4 linked regions of the Saccharomyces cerevisiae S288C genome follow. Changing the gene in region 1 together with any one later gene gives a genetic interaction. Each region holds a gene or a part of one and is shown in the gene's direction. Other genes may lie near its edges.

Region 1 (5,431 bases):
GGCCGGAGAAGCACGATCAGAATTGCTTGTATCCATAGCATTACCTGTCCTTGCTGTATTAGAGGGGCTGGTTCGCTGTGTATGTAACGGAAATAGTGATAAATCATTGTTTTCATTCAAAGTGTCCATCGTAGGACATGAAGGGAGGAAATCACTTTCTGCAGTGTTAGTGGACCCGACAGGCTGTGTTCGCGCCTGATTTAAAGAACCATGAATCAGTGATAGATACTCTGTTTCATCACTTTTTGTAGTTGGCAAGAAAACTGATTCTGCACTTGTTGCAATGGAAATTTCCAGCACACTTTTCTTATTATATAACGGTGTTTGCTTGATGAAACCACGATCCGCTAAATAGTCCGATAGCACCCTATTAATAAACATAGTGCTATTACTAGCATGATGTGTTATGAATGACCTAACAATATCATTATTACTAGATATTTGTTTTGCCGCGACTGGATCTGACTCTCTCCTCAACCCGGTGTCTTGCCTTGTGTGTAACTGGTCTATGGTGGTATACGGAACAGAATTCCTGTGCCTATCCGGTTGGTAAGATCCCGTAATATTGTAAGCCTTAGTGCCAACATCTGAAGGAAAACTGTTCCCCCTACACATGGCAGTTGATGCGGTAGAATAGTTACGGTTCATCAAATTGGAATAATCGTCCATACTAGATGTTGGACTATTACCAGTTCCAAAAAAAGAAGAAAGGGCGTCCCTAACACTAGATGACCTCCTTCTACCACTAAATCCTGACGATTTTTGTGGCGAGAGGGAGGTAGAAATCATCTCTCTGTTACGGGCTAGCCTTTGCAATATATCACCCTCGTCGCCTGCAGAAACGTTCTGGACGACATCTCTCTTGTTGCCGTTGCTCGCAATTGCTATTGGGACAGTAGATTGCATGATTGACTTTGCTTACTAGTCTGACTGATTACCCTTGGAGAGCCATCATAATAAATAAAACAGAGAAACGACGATATATATAGTCCAAACCGTGACAACTATGCAGGGAACGGGAGACGGGATTCAATAAGCCGGGGGTCTTTTCCATGTGATACCGAGTAAGGCATAGCCATCATTTGGCAGATCTACAAAATAAAGAAGCCCAGGGTTTGGCCGTGCAGAATCGCTGCGCCAACCCCGGATTTTGCATTTCTTATTCCACTAGGGCTGGTCGTGGGGTACGTGGGGAGCGGTATCCCTTAAAATGAAAAAAAAGAAACTATACCACCCACGCATCCAAACGACCGGGCGAGCGGGTAATAGATGGTTCTATTCTTTAGCCGCCGAAGCTTTCTTCTCTATATACATGTAAATGTATATAATTCCGGAAGTGTGGTCCTGCTACGAACAACACAAACCGATTAATTGATAATGGAAAGAGGAATGAGGTTGGGACAAGTAATACCAACTGGGGCTACAGGAAGGTGGTGAAAGAGGGTATCACATATAAGAACAAACCGTTTATTCGATTATTTAAATCTATTTTAGGCCACGAAGGTAGAGAGGTTGCGAGTGAAAACAACTAACTTTCTTTACGATATTTCTCAATTGGAACTGACAGCGTTAAAGTCCATATTTTGCTACTGATTGCTTTTCTTTGGTGTTATCTACCTTAAGAGAAAAAAAATTCAAATGAAGATTACCCGACTCTGAGTTTTGACGTCCTTAGCTGTTTGTATTCACTGAATTTAGTGGGCTTGGCCATATGAGAATTACAACTAAATCATACTTTTTCGAGATTTTATACTGCTAATATTGGAGAAGAAATATTGACCATCTTGATTTAGCAACGAGAAAGACCTGAACACCATAATGGGCTCTTCGTTGAGAAGCTTTATCAAAGACGTTCGTGGTGCCAAAACACTGGCAGATGAAAGGGCAATTATAACGAAACAATCTGCTAAAATTAGGACAAAATTGAGAGATGACCATCTACCACATGAAAAAAGGCGAGTAAATATCCAGAAACTTCTGTATCTATACATTCTAGGGGAAAAGACACATTTCGGTCAGGTGGAGTCTATCAATTTAATTGCTTCTGACGATTTTGTCGATAAAAGATTAGGCTATCTGGCCGCAACTTTATTGTTGGACGAATCTGAAGATTTATTGACACTCTTAACGAACATGTTGAACAACGATTTGCATCATCCCAACAAATATGCAGTGTCACTTGCACTAACCTCATTAGGCTTTTTGAGCTCCCCTGAATTAGCCAGAGATTTATACCCAGACGTCGAAAATATCATCAAAAATTCAAGAGACCCTTTCCTCTTGAAAAAAGCGCTTCAATGTGCTGCCAAACTAATTTTCAAAGACGTTTCACTTTTAGAAATCTTCAACATCGAAGACATTACTAAGATATTGTCTAGTCATTCAATATGTACTCACGGTGTACTTTTAGGCGTTACGAAAATCATACAATCTATTTTGTTAATTGGATTGAACAGAAAAAAAGATGAGGATGAAGATGAAGACGGTATTGATTACAGCAATGACATCTTGTCTCCATTATCTTTACTTTTGCGTGATTTTTTCATTCGTTTGGAAAATATGAATTCTAAAAATATTGAACCTGGATATGATGTCCAAGGTATTTGTGACCCATTTCTGCAGTGTGAAATAATTTACACTTTAAAACTATACTTTCAAGTTGGTGAGCTCTTAAATTCGAACAATGTTTTGGACTACAAAGATAATTTCTGCGATTTATTGACTCGTATTGCGACGAATACGGATTCAACGAAAAACAGCGGACAGGCCATTCTTTATGAGACCGTGAAGACGATCTTTTCGTTGGATTTGAACCAGCCTCTACGTGTCCTTGGTATTAACATCTTGGCCAAGTTTCTTGCAGGAAAAGATAATAATACTAAATACGTTTCATTAAACACCTTATTAAAAGTTGTTCCCCAAGAGCCTACCGCAGTACAAAGGCATAGAAAATTCATTTCTCATTGTCTGCAGGATACCGATGTGTCGATCCGCATGAGAGCGTTAGAGTTGAGCTTCGCCATCTTGGACGATTCAAATTTAGTGGAATTGGTTAACGAATTGATGAAATTTTTGGCAAAACAGGATGAAGATTCAAAAGATCTCATAATATACACTATAGATCACTTAATTGACACTTTTGATACCCGCGTTGTCAAAGATGAAAGCTGGAAATTAGATGTTTTCTTTAATATCTTAAAATTAGTGGGATCGTTTATCAACTATGAAAAAATTAATGATATTCTAATCATAATAAATAATACGAGCCAGTTATCCGACAAATCTGAATTTTTACGGAAAATGCTGACAATTTCACTAAATGGAACATCAGCGGAGATTTCCGAGGAAAATATTGGTTGGCAGTTGGTTTTGATTTGGTGCATTGGCGAATATGGCGATTTAGTACTCAACGAGGGCAATAAAAATGGTGCAGACATAATCAATGAGTCATCTATTACTGATTACTTACTAACTTTGCAAGAACTCTACACAGCAACGAATCTGAAGATAATCAATTACATTTTAACAGCAGCATTAAAATTATCTGTGAGGTTCCATGACGCGAAAAATATTGAAAAACTAAGACAACTGATATTGAGCTACACGGATTCCACTGATTTATCACTGCAAATGAAAAGCAATCAATACGAGATATTTTTCAATCAGTCAATTTCTGTGAAGAAGATCATTTTAGAAACAATGCCTAAATTTGAAAAAATTACCGAGGAACAGGATAATGGAAAAGCTCTATCGAAAAACCTTATCTCCAACGAACCAGTTGATCTGCTGTCAGATTTATTGGGTGAGGATAGCAAGGCTGAAAGCAAGGCTTCTACTGGTGACAATGTGAAACCAATTGACATATTAGAAGAGATTTTTGGAGAGAAGAATGACATTGCTCAGGTGCCCAAAAATGCGAACAAGGAAGAATCAATCAATCATTCGTCGGCAGTGGAGGCAAACTCAGGTGTCACCTTACCATTGGATGCCAACAAGATATATGACAGTTCCTCACTGAATGTATATGCTTCCTTGCTCTCTGCAAACTCTGGATTAGCACATTTGGATTTATATTTTCAGGCAAAGTCTTTAATATCTGACTTAAAAACTTTCTGTGCCGTTCCTAAAGCTCAAAAGCTAACACTAGGCCAGTTATATCCATCTTCCACAATAAACGCCAGCCAAATTTGCAAGCAGTCATTGAAAATTTCTGGATCTGGGAAACTGAAGTTAAGAGTTAAGTTGGATTTTCATTTAAATGGCTCTTCATCTATCACCAATGAACAGTTCGATCACAAATTCGATGAAACTCTATAAAAAATGCCTTTAAAATTACAGAACATAACATGATTAATGACCTTGCGTTGGATGGTCTGTCGCGCATATCAAGAGACACGTCACGACACAACACGATGAATAGAAATGCTATCTTCTGGGACACCATAAACGACTCCAAAATATTTTATATGTTAAGTAGCGATATATAACAACTAATAACATATGTACTTATATGCTCTCAATAGAATAGATAACAAAGAGAACAAAAACGAGAGTTTGATTTGAGGATATAGGTGAGTTGCCTCTTAATGAACAGAAGCACCTGTAGCCTTAGAAGCCTCATTGACGGAAGCTCTAATTTCATCCTTTTCTGTCTTGCTAACATCTCTTAGGATATATCTGTCGGTCAATGGGGCTACGATCTTTTGATAGATCATTCTAGCGCCACCAGTTTGAGGCAAGGCAATGTAGATTAAGAAAACGGTTTTCAAAAACCAGTAGAATGGAATCAAATATAGAATTGCCTTGGACCAGAATTCAATGACACTCAAAAATGAAAAGACAATCCAGTAGGTCAAGAGTTGTGTGTCATCGGTGGACGTTGGTGTCTTCAAAGCAACCAACGATAAATATGCTGGCAACACAAACCCAGCAAAATTGGAAAGAATTTCACCTACACCTCCGACGTTAATAAAAATCAAAAGGAGATAAGCGAAACCTAAACCAGCAACTAAATAAGATTTAGGCAAATTAGTTTTATTTTCTAATTGCTGTAAAATTCTATTACCAGAGTACTTCTGTAGAAAAAAATGTAGCAAGGAGGGTGAAAATTAGCTTTCTTGTTAGTATAACTGCTTCGGTTACGTGTGTCGGGTCATTTGGCTGTTTGAACCATGATGACGATGGAACCAATAAAACCATCTTACATACGGTATCGAATTGTTTCATTTGAGAGTGAATACTAGATGCATATTCGGACATGATTGGAGTGCGGTTATGTCTTTGTTTATTTGTTTTCACTACCAATTGCAATTTTAGATTCTTTCTTTCGGAATAACAAGCTTCAAGGGAATGTTTTTTAGTTTTAAATCAAAAAAAATTTTGAAGGACATATTTTTTTTTTTTTCGTTCAACCTTGAAAGGGGTTACGCAT
Region 2 (3,445 bases), on another chromosome or scaffold:
AAACGCAGCGGCTAGTAGACTCATATCCATTTGAGAAGCCTTTCCCAAATTTATTATATCATCATGAGAATGAATTCTTGCTTGTCTGTTTCTATTTTTGGCAAGCGCTAATGCTTTATAAACATGATGTTCCTTCTTAGATGACCCGTCCTCAGCATCGTCGATATTTTCCTGCTGTTTACCCTTGTTCTTGTTCAATATTCTTATGGCAGGTTCCAGGTTAGATGGTGATGTAGTTGAAGTTAGATTTTCATTGCCAATGATAGGGGTTTTGAATTGTTTAGAAGAAGTCGCTTCAGATGTGTTTGATGCTGGGGAAGCAGGATCGTTTAATATTATTACGTGCGATTCGACCTTGGAATCTCCCCACGAATGAGTAATTGTGCCCTTAATAGCAGGCAGAGAGTCTGTGGTTCTATTAAAATCTTTTGCAGGAGAAGTTTTTTTATATGCAGTATATTCACTTTCATTGTCATGACGTGAAAAGGAAGAGGTAGAAGAGGAAGGAAAGAGCGGCGGTGGTAATGGCGGCGGAGGTCCAGTATTTTTTGTGGGTGGATTTTGGAGAACAAATGAATTTGAAGTAGTCTGATTTGTGCTTGTGGTTGGAGTTGAAGCTAAATGCGAGTTTAAGTTTGAGTTTGAAGTTTTCTTGAACAACTTTGAAGTCTTGTTAGCCAAACGATGGAAAGACTCAAATCCAGGTGAGTGTTTCGCGGGTGGTGGAATGCTATCGTAATTCATTTGTGATGGTGTAGATGGTAGAAAGTCTAAGGAGTCATCACTTGACCTTTGAGAACTATTATTAGTATTGCCACTGAAGTTGCTATGTCGCTTGGGGCTTTCATCAAACGACGTGGACTTCTTATGGGCTTTTATGAAAGACCGCATGATGAAATATTCCAGTTATGCGTGTGCGTCTTGTGATGCAGATCCTTTTGGGCAAAAACAGTTGGTTTGTGCGAAAACGCAAGGTAATAAATAGGCTTAAAGGAACTAAAAAAAAAAAAAGGAAAATAACCAGCTAAGATTTAAGGTACAAGAAAGCGGTTGCACCTCAAGTAATGATAGTTATTAAACCTTGGATTGGACCAGATGTTTAAAATTGTTTTCAATAGTAGATTTGCAGTCGTAAATGCGTTCTCAGCAATATCATATTGTGTTTATGAAGTATTACCAAACGGGTAGAAGAACGGTTTAAGAGAATATGTCCGGATAAAGCGATCAGGAGAAAAGCTTAAAACCCAAAGTGGTCAATCTGCAGCCCATTTAGGCACTCTGCATTTAACCGATACCCGGATTGAAGAAAGCTGGCGGGTGTATGGGTGAAGGAGAAGAAAGGAAGTGATTAGGAGAAACCTCATGGAGATGAGCACATGCTACAACTAATAACGTTATTCTACTTAAAACGAGCAAAACAAAAAAAAAAACAAGACAATTGAAAACGCAATGGATGCATTCAGCTTAAAGAAGGATAATCGAAAAAAATTTCAAGATAAACAGAAATTGAAAAGAAAACATGCCACACCCAGTGATAGAAAGTACCGGCTATTGAACCGCCAAAAAGAAGAGAAAGCTACCACAGAGGAGAAAGATCAAGACCAAGAACAGCCCGCCCTGAAGTCAAACGAGGACAGGTACTATGAGGACCCGGTACTCGAGGACCCGCATTCTGCAGTCGCCAATGCAGAGTTGAACAAGGTGCTAAAAGACGTCCTCAAAAATCGGCTCCAGCAGAACGACGACGCCACAGCCGTCAATAATGTTGCTAATAAAGATACTTTGAAAATCAAAGACCTCAAGCAGATGAATACGGATGAGCTCAATCGTTGGCTCGGACGGCAGAATACAACATCGGCTATAACAGCGGCTGAGCCCGAATCATTAGTCGTTCCCATTCACGTACAAGGTGATCATGATCGTGCGGGCAAGAAGATCAGTGCCCCTTCGACCGATCTACCGGAAGAACTAGAGACCGATCAGGATTTCCTTGATGGACTGCTCTAATCGCGCGGTACGACAGTTACTGCGTGAAAAGATTATCAGCGCCCCTTTTTTTCTTCTTTGTTCTTAACGTTTCTTTTTCTTGCGGCTTATGCCCGTACTTATAAAACAACGGCCTCCCGTGCCCTATTACCTTCCTGATAGACCGGACAATAACGTCACTACATACAAAGTTATACACTAACAGAAACTCAAACACAAACGTTTTTATAATAGTCAAAATTAAATATCTCTCATAATGGGTTCCGAGACAAAACATTCTGCAAAAGTCAAGATTGTCACAAGGGAAAGTCCTCCTTCCGCCAAGGAGCACATGCGCCCCACTAAAACTCAAATATTAGTTCCACCGACGCAGAGTTTGCCCAATGGCAAGAAACCAAACTTCGGTAAGTCTACAAAACAGCGGCGAGAACCTAGGGAACGCACCTCGAAGACGGGACACGAGGACGATAAGGCAACGATGGTCACTGTTAACATAGATGCCTTCCTACATGATAAGGCCCCTAAAAAAAAATCGTGCAAATACAAGAAGAAGAAAACGAGACAGTACCAGGATAGGGCGGCGGCGTCGATCGATTCGAAACCGCACGTAGCTGGTCATACGGCCTTTGCCGGTGCTTCGTTCACAACAGATATCCCACATGAGGCAGCGCTACCCAAACCTAGTTTTGTTTGAGTAGCTGTGATTGTAAATTTTTTTATTTCTACTTGAGCGGGCGGGCTCTCATTTTTTTTTTTGGGGTTTTATTTAGGTCGGATTATTCATAAAGATGGCATTTATATACATTTTTACGCAATTACCCTCATATTCTTACACATACGGAGAAGTCATTGTTATATCTTCTTGCCTTCACATTGTTATCGGTGATTTTCTTTCTTTATTGATTGATTAGTTATATAAATTATTGCTATTAAAATACATAAAAGGGGAAGTAAAAACGTGCACGGCGCAGATCAACTTCACAATTACAAAACAACGTTCTTGGCCAATTTGTTCTTATATTGCAAAATGGATCCGTCCCATCTGGTAGCGGTCTTGTTTTCCACAACGAAAATATCTTGGGCAATTTTGTCTAATAATCTGAAATCATGCGAAACGACGACGACACCACCGTTAAATTCGTTGATGGCGTCGGCCAAGGAGTCGATGGTTGGGATATCCAAACCATTGGTAGGTTCATCTAATAGTAGGACATTTGGTTGTTCTAAAGCTAATAAAGCAAAGACGACACGAGAACGTTGACCTTCTGACAAGGTAGCCATTTGAACGGTTTGACCTTCCCCGGTTAGCCCGTAGCGACCTAGTTGGCCTCTCCAGAATTGGAAATCTTGTGAGATGTTAGAGTACTTGTCACGGACAAATTCTAAAGCAGATTTTGTCAAGTCCAGTTGATCTTGAGAGTGTTGCGAGTAGACACCCAACTTGACATGGGTATGTCTA
Region 3 (3,866 bases), on another chromosome or scaffold:
TATAGCCAGATCCCGGAATCTTTTCTTCGAATGTATATTTCAATTTGTTGTCAAAATCTATAAATGGGTCGCAATCCGTAATAAACGCCGTATAGAAGGCTACCGTACGGTCATTTTTGACATTCGCAAACGCTATCCTCCATTTAAATAGCGAGAGTGCTTCAAGGTACTCACCCTGGCTCAATTTCACCAATATATTGTTACTAGAATTTGCGATAAACATTTCTCTCCCGCTTTTACCTAAAATAGTAGATCCCAAGGTCCTCAGCGCACTATATAACGCACTTTTATATGCTATGCCCGTAGGATTGTAAAACTCTACCCCCAAATGAGGCGTTGCCATTGTAATGAATAATTGTGGTTCAATATCCTCGAACAGTTCTTTAAATTCGGTCAACATCTTACCGATCATAAATCGGGCCACTAATCCGCCTTGCGAATATCCCATTACGCTTAGTTTGGTGATTTTCCCGTCTTTATAATCTCGGATAAATTCACAAACTTCAATCAATGTCCTGTACCCAATGATTTCGATACCATCAAACGTCTTAAACATGGCATTCTGCTTTGGTAAAAAATATATCATATCATCGTTAACATCTTCCTTTTTTAATGTAGTGGATAAAATTGTCCTCATAGATTCCATATGAGTATAGTTACCCCATAGCCCGTGAATCAGCACAAAAAGGTGTTTATCCGAAGTCATCTGAAGCGCTGTATAATATATATGGTTGATCACACGAAGTTTTCTACCGATTATTGCAGTAAAGAGTTGCCACCCTTTCTTTATTATCTTTGTTTTTCATTTTGATCTTATATACTGAAAATCCCCGTTGATCATGATTTGGTAAAGAGCTTCAGAAGAGTTTCCACAGTTTCCTGCAATGATTCAAACGAAACCTCTTCACCAGATCCCATCGAAATGCGTTTTAATTCATCCCTGTGCGTAAATTCAGCTGCATCAAACGTTATCTTGTATAACTTTTGATAGTCTGTAATAGAATTAGAAATACCTCGAAGTCGGAGGCCACCCAAAATTAGCTTGGACAAAGTTTCATTGAATTGAAGCCGTTTGTCATTAATATGCACGTTGCGATACACTTCCGTTTTCGTTCCGATCTTCCTTTGTTGAGATTGTTGTATTATTATATCAATACTACCTTCCTTTGATACGGAGGCCCTTGTCTTTCCAATATCTTGCTTCAATTTGGTGACCTGGCCATCAAACTCATGCTTCATTGTTAGATCCACTTGAAAGCAGTTTAACTCTGTGTTCTCTCGAAATATAATCAAGTATGCTGGCTCCTGCGATCGCTGATCGACCTTGTCAAACAATTCAATGACAATGCCACGATTCGCGTTCCTTAGTTTTGATTTGAAGTAAGCCTGTGCGGTTGCACTGGTACTATAACATCTATATGTATTCATATTTGTGGAGCGGACCCACAAAGGCAGTTTTGCGAGATCTACATACTGAATGAATTGTCCCCTCAACTCTGAAGTTGATTTACTTGCTGTAGGTCGATTGCTCCAAAGTTGGATATCCCTAATGACCAAACTTCCCTGCTTTCCGCTAAGAGTAAAATTTAGTGTGCATAATTTCCGTGACATCAAAAGTCAGGCGAATTGGTGAATGCTGTCCCCTTTCAAGGCAGTCTATCATTTCTTAGTTACCTGCCAACAGGCCTTTATCAGGCCTCAAAGAAAAAAATTTCCTTGCGTAGCCCGCTTTTCGCCCGAACCTGGCAAAGCAAACAGACGATCGAAAAATTTCCAACGATCTTATCTAGGTGGAAGTTATAAAAAGAAGAATAAAGCATCGTCAACCTTTTTAACCTGAATTGGGAAACAACGGGCACACACATTTGTTGGAGTTTGTATGATTGCTAAAAAATAAAAAGTAATTAAAAAAACATCATAGAGTTGTAAGGTCTCAGGGAAATAGAAGGAACAATAAACCTAAAAGAATAGAAGAAACAGAATGCCATTACCTCCGTCAACATTGAACCAGAAATCTAATAGAGTCTACTCTGTAGCTAGGGTGTACAAGAATGCCTGCGAGGAGAGACCACAAGAATACTGGGACTACGAACAAGGGGTGACCATCGATTGGGGAAAGATTTCCAATTACGAAATTATCAACAAAATTGGAAGAGGGAAATATTCCGAAGTGTTCAGCGGTAGATGTATTGTAAACAACCAGAAGTGTGTTATTAAAGTTTTAAAACCAGTTAAAATGAAAAAAATTTATAGAGAGTTGAAAATTCTGACCAATCTAACAGGCGGCCCCAATGTTGTTGGCCTTTATGATATAGTACAAGACGCTGACTCCAAAATACCTGCTTTGATCTTTGAGGAAATCAAAAATGTTGATTTCAGAACTTTATATCCTACATTCAAACTTCCTGACATCCAGTATTATTTCACGCAATTATTGATTGCGTTAGACTACTGTCACTCCATGGGCATAATGCACAGAGACGTAAAGCCTCAGAATGTCATGATTGATCCTACGGAACGTAAACTAAGGCTGATCGATTGGGGCCTGGCGGAGTTCTACCATCCAGGTGTAGATTACAACGTTCGTGTCGCTTCGCGTTACCACAAGGGACCAGAACTTTTAGTAAACTTGAACCAATATGACTACTCCCTAGACTTATGGTCAGTAGGATGCATGCTAGCAGCTATTGTCTTCAAAAAAGAACCTTTTTTCAAAGGGTCGTCTAATCCAGATCAACTGGTAAAGATTGCCACAGTACTAGGAACCAAGGAACTGTTAGGCTATTTGGGTAAGTACGGGTTGCACTTACCATCTGAATACGACAACATTATGAGAGACTTTACAAAAAAATCGTGGACACACTTTATAACCTCCGAGACCAAATTAGCTGTTCCTGAAGTGGTTGATTTAATCGACAATTTATTAAGGTATGACCATCAAGAAAGATTAACAGCAAAGGAGGCTATGGATCATAAGTTTTTCAAAACGAAGTTTGAATAATTGGACAACAATACTCTTAGCAAGGCAATTCTTTTTCCACCACTGATTTCCATTTATAAAAAGCAGGGGTTTTCCTTTTTTGTAGCTTGATATTAGAGAATATCCTTAATGTGAATATTAAATTGCAAACTCTATTTAACAACGAATGTAGATTATTATATGACCAGAAAATCACTTTATATAGATATAAGAGCCTTCCGTAATGCTATGCAAGTTTTGATGAATTATTATATTGTCGTGAGGCGTGTTCCGAGGAGTTTCGTCGCCATTGGGATAGAGATGCTCGTAATCGTACGTGTCTGGAAGTGCCTGCCGACGGTAGCGATGTCTACTCTCGTCCCAGACAATGGAATAGTTTTGGAATTGTTCTACATCATTTATTAGAACACATGATTCACGAAATCTCCCACGTTTGTCAATATCTCGCCTACGAACAGTGTCATCGAATGATATTGAACGCTGAGAGAGCCATTTACCTTTTGAGTAAAATACGCTGCCTTTTTTCAGCAATGAAGAAGCACTTCCCTCCTTTCTTACATCCAATAATTGCTTCCCTTGTTCCTTTATATTCCCCATAGGAAAGTCCGTTGGAGTAGGTTGCTCTCTTTCATGTATTCCAACCAGATCAGGTCCGTAAAGAACAGTAACGTCTATTTCTTTATTCCAGTTTATGCTTAGTGGATCAATTTTGTATTCATCTAAATTGAAGTGCTTTATGGACCACCTCCTCCATATACAATGATACAACCTAGCCATATATATGCTATAGTCAAACTCATTTTCAGAAGAGCAACTGGGTAACCTTAATAATTTATGCTTGCGCATTTTCAGCAACAAGCGCCAGGTAGTGGACACGTCCAAGCTA
Region 4 (3,968 bases), on another chromosome or scaffold:
TGCACTTTATTACTATGTGGTCGAAAAAGTTTACATTAAAAAAGCTAATCTTAGGCGGGTATTTGTTTGCTCAAAAGGTCTATTGTGAAGACGAAAGTAACTCTATATACGGTACCTGGTCATCTAAATCAAATCAAGTGTTCACGGGACCGGGGTTTTATGATCCCGTAGATGAACTATTGATAGAACCTTCATTGCCCGGGCTTAGCTATTCGTTCACTGAAGATGGTTGGTACGAAGAAGCTACTTACCAGGTAAGTGGCAATCCTCGTAACCCAACTTGCCCCATGGCTTCGTTGATTTATCAGCATGGTACATATAACATTTCAGAAAACGGTACGTTAGTTCTGAATCCTATTGAAGTTGACGGTAGACAACTATTCAGCGACCCATGCAATGATGACGGAGTTTCGACTTATTCTAGATATAACCAAACAGAAACTTTCAAGGAATATGCCGTAGGTATAGATCCTTACCATGGTATTTACACCCTGCAATTGTACCAATATGATGGTACTCCAATGCAACCACTATATTTGGCTTATAGACCACCAATGATGCTTCCAACAGAAACTTTGAACCCAACATCGTCAGCGACCAGCACTGACGACCCATCCTCTAATAAGAAAAGATCACTGAGAAGTTTAGTGAGGAGGAGCCTGGAAAACAGACACAAGACGAATGCCATTAAAAGACAAAATACCTCATTTTTAACCTCCAATGCCATTTGGTATATTTCTGCGGGTATGCTAGGTGTAGGTTCATTATTATTTTTAGCATTTTAGGCGCACTACAGGGATACTTATTCAACCAATGGGGGAAAGAGGCCCCATGTGGCCTTCAAATAAATATTAAAAACTATAAACATATAAGGCAAAACAACTTTATCAGGCGAGAAAGAGAAGCAAGAATAGGTGTAATTTTATGCACCCAAGGAATTGATTGTAATCATATTATTAAATAAGGTGGATGAATAAAAGATTTTCAAACCAGTTTTTCCGAGATAGTTAATTATGTACGAGTGACAAATGGGATATCAATCAATGAACACAATCAAAACACCTTATTATGACTTTCTTGTTATATTCTTATATACATAACCAACATTTAAATGTCAATTTCTTCAGTTTCTAGCCCGCAGTCTGTACATCTTCTTCTTTGAATTTGATAACCGTCTTCATCAATACCTCCATCAACTGGATCACTAAAATGATGAATATGGGCTTTCCCATGCTTCTTTTCTCTTAATCTATTAGTATATTCTTGAGCTCTTGTTTTCAGTCGCATTTCCTTGATTTTCTTTTCGTATTTTTTCTCCCTTCTGTGAGCCTTTCCTTCTTCACGACGTTGCCATTCCTCATCTAAACCTTCTTCTCCACCCCATTTCTTGAACGCAAAGGCTTCCACTTCACATCTAACAAATAGTTGCATTCTTGCAAATGTCCCCGAATGAGGGTTCGGCTTTTCTAGTCTATGAAAGAGATCCTCATCATTCAATTCGGGGTCTGTTAAAAAGTAATCTTCCTTACATTCTGTTTTCGTCAGTAGTGCATACTTTTCTGGATGCTCCTTAGAACACTGTTTACAAACTTGTAACTTGAACACATCATGTAGCACAGGATCCATCTCAATATTAATATGACATTCAATACATTTCGGCGCCTTTGAAATATGCTCTGGAGGAGGTGCATTTTCGTACAGCATTTTCCGTTCAAGTTGTTCCTTTTTCCAGTCCTGTAGTGTCTTCTGCTTTTTAGATCCAAACTCAGATTCAAATTCTTGGTCATCGGTAAAGTCAGAATTTGGAAGCTTGTCCTTAGGGTTGATATAACCACCATTCAAGTTCTGCATGGTGGCAAAATCGTACTCAATGTAATCTTGTTTCCTTATGCTAGGTCTGATTCTATCCGTTGGCCTTTTGTCGAGTACCGACGCATCCCTTTTACTTCCATCAACTACTCCGCTACCATAAAGTGAAGTAGTGTTAGTGTTAGTGTTAGCAAGCGCAGACGGTTGTCCATTATGATTTGGCACATGTACTGCGGCTGCTGCATTATCATCCCGATTGCTGCCACTAGTAACTGCGAGAGGCCGGGTTTTTAAAGGTTCATTCCTACTTTCTATTCGATTCAATTGGTCGCTACTCAGTATTCCCCTTTTTCTTAACCGTTCTATTGCTAATTTCCTGTTAGCCTCCTGCACAGCTCATCTCATCGTTAAATTGTTAGTAAAAAGAAACCCACGGTTAAAATACAAACACAGAATCATTTTCACACATACTAGTTTGGCCTTTTGTTCGGGAGTCATAGCGTTACGTTCGATACCTTCACTACGAAGATCCAAACTCTTTTTCTAGTTCCGATAAATTCCTTACCTTCTTTTCACTTTCCTCTTTTCTCCCTACAACTTAGCAAACGTCAAACATGCTGTAGATAGAGCTTCTATAGAAGTACAGTTATTCAAACAAAAAAAAAAAAAAAAACAAGGGTTGTGGAGTATGCCACTAGCAGTCTGCTATGTTGATTCTGCTTATTATCAACGAAGTATCCCATTATGATCTTATGCAATGCACATTCCTGCCCTTACGCTCCAGGGCAGAATCGAACCACGGCCCTCGTATAAGCCGCAAGGAAAACTACCGGTGCTATCGTTCTCGTTTGGATGATTTTCAGTATGGAAGAATTTGGATAGATCTGCAGCGCCATGGTATATAAGAGAAAGAAGCGGTAACGTTTGACACTGGGTTCAGATCTCTCTTGTCGCTCAATCAAACTAAGACTAGCCCAGACCATTATAGCCATGAAGTTTTTCCCACTCCTTTTGTTGATTGGTGTTGTAGGCTACATTATGAACGTATTGTTCACTACCTGGTTGCCAACCAATTACATGTTCGATCCAAAAACTTTGAACGAAATATGTAACTCGGTGATTAGCAAACACAACGCAGCAGAAGGTTTATCCACTGAAGACCTGTTACAGGATGTCAGAGACGCACTTGCCTCTCATTACGGGGACGAATACATCAACAGGTACGTCAAAGAAGAATGGGTCTTCAACAATGCTGGTGGTGCGATGGGCCAAATGATCATCCTACACGCTTCCGTATCCGAGTACTTAATTCTATTCGGAACCGCTGTTGGTACTGAAGGGCACACAGGTGTTCACTTTGCTGACGACTATTTTACCATCTTACATGGTACGCAAATCGCAGCATTGCCATATGCCACTGAAGCCGAAGTTTACACTCCTGGTATGACTCATCACTTGAAGAAGGGATACGCCAAGCAATACAGCATGCCAGGTGGTTCCTTTGCCCTTGAATTGGCTCAAGGCTGGATTCCATGTATGTTGCCATTCGGGTTTTTGGACACTTTCTCCAGTACTCTTGATTTATACACTCTATATAGAACTGTCTACCTGACTGCCAGGGACATGGGTAAGAACTTGTTGCAAAACAAAAAGTTCTAAGCTGCCCGACCTCACGAAATCAGTCATGCGGTAGTCCATTATAATATAACTATTATTATTATTACTATTACTATTATTATTATTATTATTATTATCTATTGTTTATATTCTCTTTAGCTTTTTATCACCTACGACGACGGATATATTCGGCGTTTGCAAAAAGTGAAAAAGGCGTCTTTTGGTGGACATGAACTCAATCTTCAATTCTTTGAAAGCGGTGTATGCGTATAAGGCCTTTTAACCATCGTGCAAAACAATAAAAGACTACCAATAACCGACGTGAATCATGTCTGCACCAACTCCATTAGCAGAGGCCTCTCAAATTCCCACTATCCCGGCCCTTTCTCCTTTGACTGCGAAGCAATCCAAGGGGAATTTCTTCTCCTCAAACCCAATATCTAGCTTTGTTGTGGATACGTACAAACAATTGCATTCTCACAGACAATCTTTGGAGCTGGTCAATCCCGGTACCGTGGAAAACCTGAATAAGGAAGTCTCCC

Evidence for each region.
Region 2: mutations in APL4 (region 1) and EDC2 together harm fitness more than expected from each alone (negative genetic interaction), as found in Saccharomyces cerevisiae (2 studies listed by BioGRID).
Region 3: mutations in APL4 (region 1) and CKA2 together harm fitness less than expected from each alone (positive genetic interaction), as found in Saccharomyces cerevisiae (2 studies listed by BioGRID).
Region 4: mutations in APL4 (region 1) and ERG2 together harm fitness more than expected from each alone (negative genetic interaction), as found in Saccharomyces cerevisiae (2 studies listed by BioGRID).

Annotation. Positions count from the first base shown.
Region 1 is NC_001148.4:623,355-628,785, reverse strand, and holds APL4 (AP-1 complex subunit gamma), read left to right. Parts: upstream 1-1,818; coding exon 1,819-4,317; downstream 4,318-5,431. Other genes in the region: CSR2 (Csr2p), read right to left, coding at 1-906; YOP1 (Yop1p), read right to left, coding at 4,584-5,075, 5,209-5,259. UniProt on the Saccharomyces cerevisiae protein: Adaptins are components of the adapter complexes which link clathrin to receptors in coated vesicles. Clathrin-associated protein complexes are believed to interact with the cytoplasmic tails of membrane proteins, leading to their selection and concentration.
Region 2 is NC_001137.3:220,397-223,841, forward strand, and holds EDC2 (Edc2p), read left to right. Parts: upstream 1-2,242; coding exon 2,243-2,680; downstream 2,681-3,445. Other genes in the region: ZRG8 (Zrg8p), read right to left, coding at 1-891; YER034W (uncharacterized protein), read left to right, coding at 1,450-2,007; ATP-binding cassette family ATPase ARB1, read right to left, coding at 2,971-3,445. UniProt on the Saccharomyces cerevisiae protein: mRNA-binding protein which stimulates mRNA decapping by DCP1 and DCP2.
Region 3 is NC_001147.6:439,553-443,418, forward strand, and holds CKA2 (casein kinase 2 catalytic subunit CKA2), read left to right. Parts: upstream 1-1,981; coding exon 1,982-3,001; downstream 3,002-3,866. Other genes in the region: LPL1 (putative hydrolase), read right to left, coding at 1-706; SLD7 (Sld7p), read right to left, coding at 838-1,611; YOR062C (uncharacterized protein), read right to left, coding at 3,173-3,866. UniProt on the Saccharomyces cerevisiae protein: Catalytic subunit of a constitutively active serine/threonine-protein kinase complex that phosphorylates a large number of substrates containing acidic residues C-terminal to the phosphorylated serine or threonine.
Region 4 is NC_001145.3:664,738-668,705, forward strand, and holds ERG2 (C-8 sterol isomerase ERG2), read left to right. Parts: upstream 1-2,799; coding exon 2,800-3,468; downstream 3,469-3,968. Other genes in the region: ROT1 (Rot1p), read left to right, coding at 15-785; DNA repair protein RAD14, read right to left, coding at 1,108-2,196, 2,281-2,307; TOM complex pore protein TOM40, read left to right, coding at 3,755-3,968. UniProt on the Saccharomyces cerevisiae protein: C-8 sterol isomerase; part of the third module of ergosterol biosynthesis pathway that includes the late steps of the pathway. ERG2 catalyzes the reaction which results in unsaturation at C-7 in the B ring of sterols and thus converts fecosterol to episterol.